Linked DNA regions of Arabidopsis thaliana. The protein of the gene in region 3 interacts with the protein of the main gene of each other region in a pairwise test. Each region holds a gene or a part of one and is shown on either strand. Other genes may lie near its edges.

Evidence for each region. Proteins that work in one complex are often made in the same cells at the same time.
Region 1: the proteins of PIN7 (region 3) and IQD6 interact in a protein complementation assay, tested with the Arabidopsis thaliana proteins (one large-scale study listed by BioGRID).
Region 2: the proteins of PIN7 (region 3) and AT5G49540 interact in a protein complementation assay, tested with the Arabidopsis thaliana proteins (one large-scale study listed by BioGRID).

Annotation. Positions count from the first base shown.
Region 1 is NC_003071.7:11,142,749-11,146,987, reverse strand, and holds IQD6 (IQ-domain 6), read left to right. Parts: upstream 1-1,884; 5' UTR 1,885-2,005; coding exon 2,006-2,071; intron 2,072-2,145; coding exon 2,146-2,373; intron 2,374-2,450; coding exon 2,451-2,678; intron 2,679-2,750; coding exon 2,751-2,864; intron 2,865-2,940; coding exon 2,941-3,555; 3' UTR 3,556-3,698; downstream 3,699-4,239. Other genes in the region: CYP711A1 (cytochrome P450, family 711, subfamily A, polypeptide 1), read right to left, coding at 3,718-4,047, 4,130-4,225. UniProt on the Arabidopsis thaliana protein: May be involved in cooperative interactions with calmodulins or calmodulin-like proteins. Recruits calmodulin proteins to microtubules, thus being a potential scaffold in cellular signaling and trafficking.
Region 2 is NC_003076.8:20,103,940-20,107,864, reverse strand, and holds AT5G49540 (Rab5-interacting family protein), read left to right. Parts: upstream 1-1,586; 5' UTR 1,587-1,880; intron 1,881-2,239; 5' UTR 2,240-2,255; coding exon 2,256-2,353; intron 2,354-2,451; coding exon 2,452-2,647; intron 2,648-2,757; coding exon 2,758-2,777; coding exon of another isoform or gene 2,778-2,787; exon of another isoform or gene 2,788-3,030; coding exon 3,031-3,061; 3' UTR 3,062-3,384; downstream 3,385-3,925. Other genes in the region: AT5G49555 (FAD/NAD(P)-binding oxidoreductase family protein), read left to right, coding at 1-85, 176-242, 325-454; BLOS2 (biogenesis of lysosome organelles complex 1 subunit-like protein), read left to right, coding at 709-792, 864-1,163; AT5G49530 (SIN-like family protein), read right to left, coding at 3,623-3,682, 3,770-3,890.
Region 3 is NC_003070.9:8,179,688-8,185,608, reverse strand, and holds PIN7 (Auxin efflux carrier family protein), read left to right. Parts: upstream 1-1,958; 5' UTR 1,959-2,202; coding exon 2,203-3,403; intron 3,404-3,480; coding exon 3,481-3,751; intron 3,752-3,841; coding exon 3,842-3,927; coding exon of another isoform or gene 3,928-3,965; exon of another isoform or gene 3,966-4,368; coding exon 4,369-4,526; exon of another isoform or gene 4,527-4,606; coding exon 4,607-4,683; exon of another isoform or gene 4,684-4,774; coding exon 4,775-4,841; 3' UTR 4,842-5,420; downstream 5,421-5,921. Other genes in the region: AST91 (sulfate transporter 91), read left to right, coding at 47-123, 219-371. UniProt on the Arabidopsis thaliana protein: Acts as a component of the auxin efflux carrier. Mediates the initial auxin gradient which contributes to the establishment of the apical-basal axis in early embryogenesis.

The sequences.
Region 1 (4,239 bases), on a different chromosome or scaffold from region 3:
TCCAACCTAGTCCAACAGTAGAGAAACCATAAGTTTAGTCAAATTCCAAAGAAAGCTCCAACAACTAAAGAAGTTAAAAAAGGATTTTGACTATCTCTTCTCTCTACCTTCAAAGATATGTGAAAAACGACCCAAAGCCAAAGTTACACTCCTATGTCTAAAGAATTCGTTTGCCGAAAGTGATCCGCTTAATATGATCTAAAATTATTTACAATAGAGAGTGTTGAATTGATTTAATAGGATATTGCAAATGATGATGAAAATGAGGTGGATTAAATTGTGTTAAAAAACAATAGTTGGTTTTGATTTGCTTTTTTTTTTTGGTATCAGGAATTCAATCTCTGGATTTCATCGTCAATGTATTATGATCCTCAATTGAAAAATGGCAAAAGATTTTATTTAATACAATATTTTTGTGTTCTCTCTTCTAATTCATTTCATGGGTTTCATGTAGAGTCTGTTTCCAATTTATTTATTTGTGTGTTGTAATACTCTATGATTTTGATTTATTTTTAGTTTGTAACATATTGTTTCTATCTCATTTCCTCTTTAAGAGCTATGCCACCACCATTCTGGTTGATTTGTGAGTTAGCACATTAATCGCTAATGTACATCATATCAGAAACAACTCTTGACTCGATTTTTTTTACTTTCATTGTATGTTTAATGTAGTTTTTTCTTCAACATTGGGCCACAATTGGCCGGCCCATTAGCCAGACAAACAACTCTTGGATCGAATTTTTTTCCTTTCATTGTGTATTTCATGTAGTTTTTTTTCAACATTGGGCCACAATTGTCCGGCCCATTAGCCAAATCCCTACATTTGTATCGAGCGGGACTCAATCCCAAGTGTGATGGTGCATGTTTTCGGTGGTACATGTTTTCATGTAATTTTTGTTTTATTATTTTAAGAAGTTATCATCAATTAGAATTAATTGTATATATCTCATTTTCATTGTATAGCTAAGGACCCAATCTTTACAGAGTTCATCTTTTTTCTCTGTCTGATTAATCTTTTTTTTTTATTATGTCTAATTAATCTTAAAGTTGCTAGACAAATAGATTCATGTACAAGATTCACTCAAACTAAATATGAGCGAGAAAAAATAGTATATATATTGAAAACTAAATTTGGGAGATACATGGGCATTTTTTTCGATTCTTTAACTCGTGAATTTAGGTTGTTCTTTTGTCGTTTCAGTTGTTGTTTTTTTGTATCAATCACTCGTGAATTTAGTTTTTTTATGAGAGCATAATTTATTATAATTTGCAATAGAGTTGTAAAGTTTAAATTGCTATAACGCTGTTTTGTGGAGAGTTAAATAGGGTGTTGACTGTTGAGTCATAAGACCAATGTGTATGGTCTTAGAAAGAAAACCTTGTCATAATTATATAAGATAATAAGTTCTGTTATAGAGGTTATTAGACAAGTGATAGGTCTAACCAGTCCAAATCACAAAATCCAAAAGCTAAACATTGCTTTTCGAAAGAGAATGTATTTCGTAAATCTGATTTGCAACATTTTGGGAAGTTTAAATTTCGAATCCAATGATATAAGAATAATAAAACAAAACAAGGTATTACATGAACATGAGTGAGTCACTGTAAAAAGTAAAAAACAACAAAAAGCCTAACATACATATATATATATATTTATTAATTTATTGTACCTTTTCATGGTTTCTTTTTTCATGCCTGTAACTCTGAGAAGGACACAGACACATTTGTTTGTGTAAGTAATAAATAAGTGTGAAAACACAATCAGAGACAAAAGCCTAAAGACTCGAGCAAACTTTTTATTAATATTTTGTTTGTTGCTTTGCTTTGATTTGTTCAAATTTCAAAAACTTCTCTTTAACCCACCACTCCCTCCATTACCACCACAACTTCACATTCTCCGATATTCTCTCTCTCTCTATCAATCTCTCACTCTCAAACTTTCTACATACCTGAAGAAAAAAATAATCTACGAATTCGAGCCAAAAAGATCGAAACTTTTTAATCTATGGGTGCTTCAGGGAAATGGGTCAAGTCCATTATCGGTCTCAAGAAGCTAGAGAAGGATGAAATCGTAAGTTCATTATCTTTTTTTTTTGTTCTCTCGTTCAAAGGTTAAAGCTTTATCGAGAGATACTCTGTTTTCAGGAAAAGGGTAATGGGAAAAACAAGAAATGGAAGCTATGGAGGACTACTTCAGTAGATTCATGGAAGGGTTTTCGAGGAAAACATCGGTCTGATTCAGACGGTGTTGATTCTTCTACTGTTTACTCTGCTGCTGTTGCTACTGTTCTTAGAGCTCCTCCTAAAGATTTCAAAGCTGTTAGAGAAGAATGGGCTGCTATTAGAATCCAAACCGCTTTTCGTGGATTCTTGGTGAGTTTGCTAATTGGTTTTGATTAGAATTGAGAGGAATAGAACTTAGTTTAATTTGAGGATTTGTTGTTAATTAGGCGAGAAGAGCGTTGAGGGCATTGAAAGGGATAGTGAGGTTACAAGCTTTAGTGAGAGGAAGACAAGTTAGGAAACAAGCAGCTGTTACATTGAGATGCATGCAAGCTTTGGTGAGAGTACAAGCTCGTGTTAGAGCTCGTCGTGTGAGGATGACTGTTGAAGGACAAGCTGTTCAAAAGCTTTTAGATGAACATAGAACCAAATCTGATCTCTTGAAAGAAGTCGAGGTTCTTGTCTTTACCTTTTTAGCTCATTGGTTTGATGATTGTTTATTGTTTTGAGATTTGTTATGTTCTCAGGAAGGGTGGTGTGATAGGAAAGGTACTGTGGATGATATTAAGTCAAAGTTGCAGCAGAGACAAGAAGGTGCTTTTAAGAGGGAACGTGCTTTGGCTTATGCTCTTGCTCAAAAGGTAACTAACTTGTCCACATTCAACATCTTGTTTAAGTTCGTGTCTGAAGCTGAATCGGGAATCTTGTTTTGTGTAGCAATGGAGGTCAACTACTAGCTCAAACCTTAAGACGAATAGTTCGATTTCGTATCTTAAAAGTCAAGAGTTTGATAAGAATAGTTGGGGATGGAGTTGGTTGGAGCGTTGGATGGCTGCTAGGCCATGGGAGACTAGACTTATGGACACTGTTGATACCGCTGCCACGCCTCCTCCTCTGCCTCATAAACATTTGAAATCACCGGAAACTGCGGATGTTGTTCAAGTTAGAAGAAACAATGTGACCACTAGAGTATCTGCAAAACCTCCTCCTCATATGCTGTCTTCAAGTCCTGGTTATGAGTTTAACGAGAGCTCAGGTTCATCCTCGATTTGTACTTCAACTACGCCTGTTTCTGGAAAAACTGGACTTGTTTCAGATAACTCTAGCAGTCAAGCAAAAAAGCACAAGCCAAGTTACATGAGCTTGACTGAATCGACAAAGGCTAAGCGAAGAACTAACCGCGGTCTCAGGCAATCTATGGATGAGTTTCAGTTTATGAAGAACTCTGGAATGTTTACAGGGGAATTGAAGACTAGTCCTTCCTCAGATCCTTTTGTTAGTTTCTCCAAACCACTCGGTGTTCCTACTCGATTCGAGAAGCCGAGAGGTTAAATGTGACCTTGTTAGATTGGAGTTTCAACAGCTTGTTGTTGTCTTGTGTGTTGTGAGATATCTGTGTATGTTGTTAATTGTTCTTTTTCCTTTGGAACTACATTGGAGTTTTGAATTTAAATATAAATTTCAGTCTTGCTTTTATTTCACTTGTTTCAAGAATCAGAATCTTTTGATGGTTCTGAGCTTAACCCCGTTCTTGAAGCTGAGAATTATACCATAATCAAGCTGCAGTGGTATCTCCATTTCTAGGGAATGTCTGAAAATGTAATTACGGTAGAGATGCAGTAATGTGAGTTTGATCTCTTGCAGGGCAAATCTCTGTCCAACACAGGCTCGTGGACCGATACCGAATGGGATGAAAGCGTATGGATGTCTATGTTTCTCCTCTTCTCCGTTCGGATCAAATCTTTCCGGCTTGAACTTCTCCGGTTCTGGAAAGTTTTTAGGGTCCTTTGCTAGAACTCCTAGTGCTAACCAAACCCATGTCCCCTAAGCAACAACCACAAGGTAAGTAATAGATTACAAGTGCTGACTGTAAATGGACTAATCCGCTTGATGGGTTTGAATATACCTTTGGGAGTAAATAACCTCCTATCTCCACTTCTTTAGCAGTTTCCCTTGCAACCAAAGGAGAAACCATGTAGAATCTCATAGCCTCTTTAATGACCTACAAAGGAGGCA
Region 2 (3,925 bases), on a different chromosome or scaffold from region 3:
GAATATGCACCCGGGTTTAGCTCATCCATCATTAGCTACGACATGTTGACTCCTCCGGACCTGGAACGGGAAATTGGTCTAACAGGTATATAAAGTGAAGTACTTGGAGAAAGATCCCAAGTACATGCGACATGGCCAAACCATATTGACATGACTGCCCATTTGTATTCTGCAGGCGGAAACATCTTTCACGGTGCCATGGGATTAGACTCTCTCTTCCTGATGCGCCCTGTGAAAGGATGGTACGTGACTCCGAAGTACTCAAAACAGTCTTTACGATTTATGATTATGAAATTCAAAACTTTGTTGGACTGTGTGAAACAGGTCAAATTACAGAAGCCCTTTGAAAGGTCTCTACTTGTGTGGCAGCGGAGCTCATCCTGGAGGCGGAGTTATGGGTGCACCTGGAAGAAACGCTGCACATGTTGTTCTTCAAGACTTGAAAAGAATCTAGCGAGTATAATCTCAGACTGTGCAATGTTAACTCTCATGTGTAAGTTGTTTGTTACTGCTCTGAAAACCTCTGTCGTAGGGAGAGGCTTACAGACATGGACAATAGTTGATATCAACGAATAATAAGCCTCCACGTGTAGCTTAACCTAAATATCACTAATTCAACAAATATGGAAAGTGCCCTAAACAACAGAAGAGCCATTGTTTATTTGTCTTTGTCTTTGTCTTTGCGAAAAGAAGTAAATATCCTCATCAATGGCGGATTCACGAGATGATCTAGCTGAATCGCTACAAAATCTATTCACGAGTGTTTCATCTATGGTCAAATCCGAGCTCCAGGTGAAAATCAATCCGAAATTTTACAGATTTATTTGTTTCCACAGATCTGAAATTGAATTGGATAAAAATAGGGAACGAACAACCATCTAGATCTATTGGAGAAGATGAACCTGAGAGTTGCGTCAGAGTACGATGATATGGGTGACGTGGCAGCTGGGCTCAGAGTTTTCGCAGAACAGATGAAATCAAAAAGTGGTGGCTTGGATGAATTTGTAGGACAAATGGATGCTATCGAGAAACAAGTGTCGGAGTTTGAAGCTGTGATCTCTGTTCTAGATCGATATGTCTCTGTCCTAGAATCTAAAATCCGAGCTGAGTATCGTCATCCTCATCATCAGCGTCGCTCTAATGATTCTGTTGTTACAGACTGATGCATTGTAGCAATAATTAATTTTTATCATTACTGAGATTGTTGGAATCGAGATCTGGAATGCTATTTTGGTTTTAGTTGATATTGAAGCTAGATACGAATACGACGAATGATTTTGTCTACATTCGGTTTAAGTTTAACCAAAACTGAAATTTGCATAAATCAATCTGGAACCAAACCAAACGAAAAGCACCTAAGTTTTTTTTTTACCGCTACTCCATATATAACCATTTACCGTACTTACTAATGCATTGGTTAAGTGTTTTGTTAAACATATTAAAACCTCCTAAGCAAACAAAACCAAACCGAATTAATTTCAGTTTGAATGTAATAGCGATGGTTTTATAAAACCAAAACTTGGAACAAACTGAACTGCTCATCTTTAGTAGTAAGTAACGAATTTTCATAATCACAAATTGTGATGTATAATCATGTTATCCGTTTCAATATCAAGAAATTTAACTAGCATAGTTGGAGAGTGTTGTTAATTTTGATTAGTAGTGGACAATCCGGTTTAAGGTTTGGTTCCGGTTCGATTTTACGGTTTATATATTACTTGTTTTCTCTGTGTTTTTCTTTTGTCTAAAAACACTCTAAAGAACTTAAAGATATTCGTCTGATTGTTCTCTCTCAAATTGGCTCATCCTCTCCATTCAATTCATCCCAAGTACCAAAGCAAGCTACTTCGATCTTCCTCTTACTACTCTCGTTTCTAATTGTAAGTCTATATCAATTCCTTTTCCAAAGTTTGTGTAGATCTCAAAGTAGTAGATCGGAAGAGATCGATAAAACCAGATCGATTAATCATAGTTGCTCCCACTCTCGACTACTTAAGAGATAATCATAAAGTCTTAACCTTTAGGAATCGAAATTTATTGTGATGCTTAGATAGCGAAACCCAGTTATAGAATCATTGAATCAATTAGAAACCCCTAATTTTCCTGTGGAAATTTGCTTAAAATCAATACTTTTTTGGGTTTGTAATCTATACACTTACTCTATGATGTCCAAGTTCTTCCTTTTTTGTTACTGTAATGTAAAATCCAATACAAAGATTTGAAATTTATGTTGTTTCAGATTGTTGTTATCTTAAATGGGTTCATCTGAGAAGAGATCAAAGGATATCATGAGTGACATACCAACTTTCAGTGCAGAGAATTTGCAGAACAATTTGAAAGTCATTCAAAACAGGTCTGATTCAATACAATTCTCTCTCTTTCGTTTTCTTAAAAAGATGATGGTTCTCGGGTTTTTTGACTTGTTATCCCTCATTTTGTTCGTGTTTGCAGCCGGACGTTTCTGTCTATCATAGCTGGTGTCTTAGCAGGAATAATTGGATTCAATGGCTTGATTGGTTTTGTATTTTACTTTGTGGTGATGTTGATCACATCTGTTGGGCTCATGGCTAAGGCAGGATTCTCAGCTGACTTGTACTTTGATTCGTGGAATCGGGTTCTTTTTGACGGTTTTCTTGGTGGCCTTATGGTATATCTTCATTTCCTTTTCTTATTACATTGTTTGTTGCTTCAAGATACATGTTGTTGATCCAACCTGTTAATCTCATACTAATCGCGGTGTTGTTTTCTTTTTCGCAGTCGTTTGTGCTGTTCTGGACGTATCCTTAAACTCAATTTGGTGGTCATACTCATTTTATGATAATGTGCAAAACTAAATCAAAGGTTGATTAGCTTTATGGAAAAACATCTATGGTATGGTGTAGGTAAAAATGATTAGCTTCTTAAGAACCTGTGATTAACATAGAAATGGCCTTTTTGTTTACTTCGTGTAGAATCAAGTATATGCGCAACTCGAAAACAGCTCTCTCTATTCTCTGTTTGTCTCAGTAGGTTTCCTTAACAATGGAGTAGATTTGCGTATGACTTGGTGCACATATTCTGAGGGAACTTCTGCTCCAGATGAGGATGGTGAAACGGCACACAAGATTGAGTTCGGGTTTTGCAGCCTCTTCATCTAAACTGAATTAGATTGACAATGTTTCTCTTGTTCCCTTTTTGAACAACAGTTTATGAGTTCGTATTACCTTTTTTTGTTATTTGAGATCACATCAAACTGTGAAAACCTTTAGATTGAAAAGTTTCAAGTATTTACACTTTCTTCCAATTTCATGTGTTCACATTGTTGTTTTCTTTTTTTTTTACATTCTTGCATGTAAAATATATTCGAATATGCTTAAGATTTCAATAGAGAACATTAGAACACTCTCTGTCAAGTTTGAACTTAGCCGTCTATGTGTATTGTATAGTTCTTTTGTTGCTTCTTATGTTTATTTTCCTGTGTTGGTGTGGCTTGTCTTACCAACTCTAGTTGAGTAATAGAAAAAAGGTTGTTTGATTTCAAAAAGGAAAAACAAAATATGAATATCTCATAACTACTGAACCGTTTACTCATATCAAAATTTATAGACCATTAAAATCTAGTCATGATGATTTAATAAACTCATCATCGAGCTTTCTGTAAAACCCATCCTGAAGAGTTGGTTTCACAGATCTCGTGCATCACCTGTCACACAACACACAGAGTTTAGAGACTAAAACTACGCTTTGGTCGAAACACAAAAAAAAAGTCAAAGAGAGCTCAAGTGAAGACCTTTATATATTCGTTGTTGGTGATTTCACGTTCAAGTTTGGTCCTGCCTGCTGCAAATACCTCAGCCTTCATAAGCTTTGTTCCAGGTGGAGATCCGGTTAAGAGGCTAATGACCACTTCCCTGATGATAAAAACAAAAAAAAAAATCAGAGAAAT
Region 3 (5,921 bases):
ACCAATATATTTCAACTAGCTAACTTTGCTTTTATATATGTTAAAGCCGTGAGCGGTGTAGACACAAACGGAGTGTCCTTTTTTAAGGAACTTAAGAAAACAACCGCCAAGAAGGACATCGAGGTAAAAATAGTTGTTTTCACAATCCGATTTTGTCACTTATCCAAGGAAACTAATTAGATTTTGATCTAAACTGGATATTTATTTTATGTGTGAAGCTTGTGTTTGTGAACCCTCTAAGCGAAGTGGTGGAGAAGCTTCAAAGAGCTGACGAACAAAAAGAGTTCATGAGGCCCGAGTTTCTCTTCTTAACCGTCGCTGAGGCCGTTGCGTCGCTCTCTCTTAAAGGGCCATCTCTCAGTAACGTTTAACTATAATTTTTTGTATCGGTCCAATATTGATATTTAACCGATGGTTAAATTTTTCTTTTTGTCTCTTTTTCATCTTTTAATTTCAGTACAGATGTAATATTACGTTCTTCTCTCTCTTTCTTCAGTGATGATTTTGGTCAAGATATGTTTGTATGATTTCGCCATTTTGTAGTTTACTAGGCCATGTTTAGTCTCCGAGAATAAAATTGATCTAGAATCGAATTGATATCTTAGCTAGATCAAACGGATGTATATCCAAATTATTTATGAAATAAACTGATTAAATAAAAAAATAAAAATAATATTTTTATTTAAGATAATTATGTTTTATAATATTAGAAAATATGACCAAACCATGAGCAGAATTGTGTTAAGAACTTTGCCAAGTTAGAGCTTACATTATATATCAAAAGTCAATGTGTAATTGTCAAGAGGGATAAACCGACGCGGATGAATCGAAGAAGCAATTGCTTTCAAGAAGACTTCAAATCAGCTATGTGTCTGCGATTATAATTGTGTAAACGTTATAAGCAAGAAATTTATCTCAAAATAAAACTGGTCTATAAATCAAATCGAATTGAAAATTTAGCTAGATTAAAAGATGAAATGAACTGATAACATAAACTAATAGATATTTTTAATAAGATGTTACTACTTTTGTGAAATGATAAAATATTTCTGAAGTTAATCGAATTCATTCAAAGCTATGATAACATTGTGACTTCTAGGAAAAAACAATTCTTGATACGGTCGCGGAAAGATCTTGATAACATTGTGACTTCCAGTCTTCCATATGGCATAAGGTATTCTTTTACACTAATACTTTCCCGACAACAACAACGAAAAACTCCAACCTTTTTTTAAAAGGCCACATAGAATGCATGATAGACCATCTGAAAGAAAATGGACAGGGTGGCTTAAAAGTGAGATTTCTTGGGATTGCATAGGATGTTATAATTAACCCTAGCTTGAAAAAAAAAAGACGATTAGACAATAAGAAATAGAATTTAGGTCAACTTAGTTCGGCGAATATGATCTTGCATTGCACCTTCTTTACCAATTTATAGTGATCTTTTGCTCCTTATAAGCACATGTTTAAATCACCACTACGACATTGTTTCTGTTTGGGCCAAATGCACACTTGTATTTTATCTCACAACGAGCTTATGAGAAATCAATCCTAGTAATACGTTAAGTGGCCCAAGAAGTTTTGGACCGGCATTTACGTGTATATAAAAAAATATTATGATTACTTTTAGATGAAACCACACTTAATTTCTTCTTTTTTCTTGGTAAACCACAATATCTCTTTATTGTTTTTATCAAGGATTCACAAAATTCATTGAATGGAAATTTTCATTTATGTGTGACATGTAGACAGTCAGTCCACTCTAAAAAATCTCAGTCAATTTCGTAACAAATTCATAACCTATTTCAAACACAATTCATAACCATAACTTATAAATACTACATAAATGATATTTCTTTATATCATCTTAAATGGTACATAAATTAGGGGAAAGCTAAGATATATATAGTATTAAAAAGTACAAAAATAGATAAGGTTTATAAATGTTTAAAGAAGTAATAAAATAGAAATAAGAACTAATTAGGTCGTCATGTGTTTGCTGTATAAAAAGCTGTAAAGGGACATCTCTCGTAAATCTAAAAATCATCAAATCTTCTCCTTCTCTCTCTCTCTCTCACACACTCACTAGCTTCTCTGTTAAAAGCTTCCGTCATCACATAGAGAACAGAGACTGACACTAACTCACTTCCTAACGGTTTCCACACTCAAAATTACACTTTTGCCACTCCGGCGAACAACAATATGATCACATGGCACGACCTCTACACCGTCCTCACGGCGGTGATACCACTCTACGTAGCCATGATCCTCGCTTACGGCTCAGTCCGGTGGTGGAAAATCTTCTCACCAGACCAATGTTCCGGCATAAACCGCTTCGTCGCTATTTTCGCCGTCCCTCTTCTCTCTTTCCACTTCATCTCCTCAAACAATCCTTACGCAATGAATCTCCGATTCATCGCAGCCGATACACTCCAAAAACTAATCATGCTCACTCTCCTAATCATCTGGGCTAACTTCACTCGCTCCGGTAGTCTTGAATGGAGCATCACAATCTTCTCTCTTTCAACACTTCCCAACACTCTCGTTATGGGAATACCTCTCTTGATCGCCATGTACGGAGAATATTCCGGCTCACTCATGGTTCAGATCGTTGTTCTTCAGTGTATAATCTGGTACACGCTTCTTCTCTTTCTTTTCGAATACAGAGGAGCTAAGATCTTGATCATGGAACAGTTTCCAGAGACTGGTGCTTCGATTGTATCGTTCAAAGTTGAGTCCGATGTTGTTTCTTTAGATGGACATGATTTTCTTGAAACTGATGCTCAAATCGGTGACGATGGTAAGCTTCATGTTACGGTGAGAAAATCAAACGCTTCTCGGAGATCTTTTTACGGTGGTGGTGGTACTAATATGACTCCTCGTCCGTCTAATCTCACCGGAGCTGAGATTTATAGTCTTAACACTACTCCAAGAGGATCTAACTTCAATCATTCTGATTTTTACTCTATGATGGGGTTTCCCGGTGGCCGGCTTTCGAACTTTGGTCCGGCGGATATGTACTCTGTTCAGTCCTCGAGAGGACCTACTCCTAGACCTTCGAATTTTGAGGAGAGTTGTGCTATGGCTTCTTCGCCAAGATTCGGGTATTACCCGGGAGGAGCTCCCGGGTCGTACCCAGCTCCTAATCCGGAGTTTTCTACCGGTAATAAAACCGGTAGTAAAGCTCCAAAAGAGAATCATCATCATGTAGGAAAATCAAATAGTAATGATGCTAAGGAGCTTCATATGTTTGTTTGGGGATCCAACGGATCACCCGTTTCGGACCGAGCTGGTCTTCAAGTTGATAATGGAGCCAATGAACAAGTCGGAAAATCCGATCAAGGCGGTGCAAAAGAGATTCGAATGTTGATCTCTGATCATACTCAAAATGGTGAAAACAAAGGTTTTTAACTTTTAAATTGTATTTTTTTTTGTAACATATGGACACAAATCTCAAACTGTATTTGCTTAAATTTGTAGCTGGTCCGATGAACGGGGACTATGGCGGGGAAGAAGAGTCGGAGAGGGTAAAGGAAGTGCCTAACGGACTACACAAGCTTCGGTGTAACTCCACAGCAGAGCTAAACCCTAAAGAAGCTATAGAAACGGGTGAAACTGTACCGGTAAAACATATGCCACCAGCGAGTGTGATGACTCGGCTGATATTGATAATGGTGTGGAGGAAACTCATAAGAAACCCAAACACTTACTCTAGTCTCATTGGTCTCATTTGGGCTCTTGTTGCTTTCAGGTAACTTAATCAAAAATCAACTACTAGTGGAAGTTTATTATTATTGTGAGATTTGATTAGAGTGATGATTATGGTAATTTGGATATGAAGGTGGGATGTGGCAATGCCTAAAATTATTCAACAATCAATCTCAATTCTTTCTGATGCTGGTCTTGGTATGGCAATGTTCAGTTTGGGTGAGTCATCTTTTTACTCTGTTTCTTTTTTCCGTTAACTCATTTACTTTCTTTCTATTTTTACGCCAATCAAATGTCACAACATCCACATTCGTACGGAAAAAATTGTAACTTTTTTTTGGTGAGGATTCCAATAATTGAAAATGGTTGGTATTTTTTAAGATTTTTTGGGATGGCCCGTTACGGCATGGACCATCCGACAGGTAGGGTCATTGATGCGACGTCGAATTATATAAACGGTCGTGGTGGGATGACATAGCTCGTGTTCTTGATTGTTGTCGTGGTCCCCATATTAAGTGGAAGTTGATTGGACTTACAATGTACATGAATGCATCATCATCATCATTTATTGGATTTAGATTACGTTTACATGTATTGCATCATTCAGCACTTGTTGTTTTGAGTGGAAATGAATTAACTGAAAATGTGAAAATGGTGAAGGGTTGTTCATGGCATTGCAACCGAAATTAATTGCTTGCGGAAATTCGACGGCGACTTTTGCGATGGCGGTGAGATTCTTTACTGGACCAGCGGTAATGGCCGTGGCAGCAATGGCTATTGGATTACGTGGAGACCTATTGCGTGTGGCCATTGTTCAAGTAAATTAAACTATTTTCGTTTGTTGTTAACAATCTCTTTGTAAGAAGTAGTTTAACCAAATCTTGTGGTAACGTTGTAGGCTGCATTGCCTCAAGGGATCGTGCCGTTTGTGTTTGCAAAAGAGTATAATGTTCATCCCGCAATCTTGAGTACAGGGTAAGTATTTCATATTGAACCAATAGTAAAACTTTTCTTATGCATAAGAGAAGATTACTAATATTGTTGATTCTTATGTGTATTATTGCAGGGTAATATTTGGAATGCTTATCGCACTACCGATTACACTTGTTTACTACATTTTACTCGGGCTATAAGCTCTTCAATGGAGAAGTTCTGCTTGGCTGAAGAGGATAAAGAGAAACAAGATAATTCCAAGATTAGTGGAACGCAACTAGAAAATGTAATGTAACACGAAATGTAGTAAATTTAAAGGGACCAAGATTTGATTTGAGGATCCAAAAACCCTTTTCTTGTCTATATATTTTCTAGAGATTATTTGAGAAAGAAGGTGATGGAATGAGAGAGACAAGAGGACCAAAACAAGGGAAAGCAAAAAAAACAGAGGACTAAGATTTGATTTGAGGATCCAAAAACGCTTGTATATTTTCTCTTCTTTTTTTATAAGAAGGGTAAAGCTTTGTTCATATATTTTGACTTGCAATAATTTCTCTTACTTTCTACTTTCATTTTGTTTAAAATTAGGTAGGTACGGTATTCATTTTTTGTTTGTTTTGTGTTTTGTGTAGGTTACTTCTTTCGACGAAAGTGTGTTTTTGTGGATTTTCCTTTCTCATCTAGTATACATTGCTCTCACAAAAGTAAGGACTGTTTTATTCCAATTAAATAAAGAAAATGACCTCTTAGTTAGCGATTAGGCGTGAAGATATATTACAATTGGTTTTATTTAATTTTTGTTCTTGTCTCATGACGTATATGATTATATTTATATTATAATTACATCAAAAGATATGAAATGAAGAAAATCATATGATAGAATTCGAGTAAAACCAGGAAAAAGATGCACCATTTTCTTACAATTCGGCTCTTCGTTATACATAATAAGGGGAAAATGAGTCCAGAACATCTCAACCCATTGAACTTTTAAATGAAGAAAACTAAACGTTTTACCAATTGAGTCACTTTATATTTTACTATTTTATGTTAGACATATTACTATACTAATTTGGACGTTGAGAAAATTTCTCTCTTTTTTCTCAAAAGGAATTTGTCTAGTATAACTTTAGATGCTGTTTAGACAAGTACGTCGACTTGATAAAGCTCTAGTTACCATTCAGAGCATTGGTTACCATTCAGAAGTGGGTTAGGCGCTTTGCACTCAAAACGCGGTGTCGTCGTTTTAGTAAGCTTTGTGATGTAAACACAAATTATATATA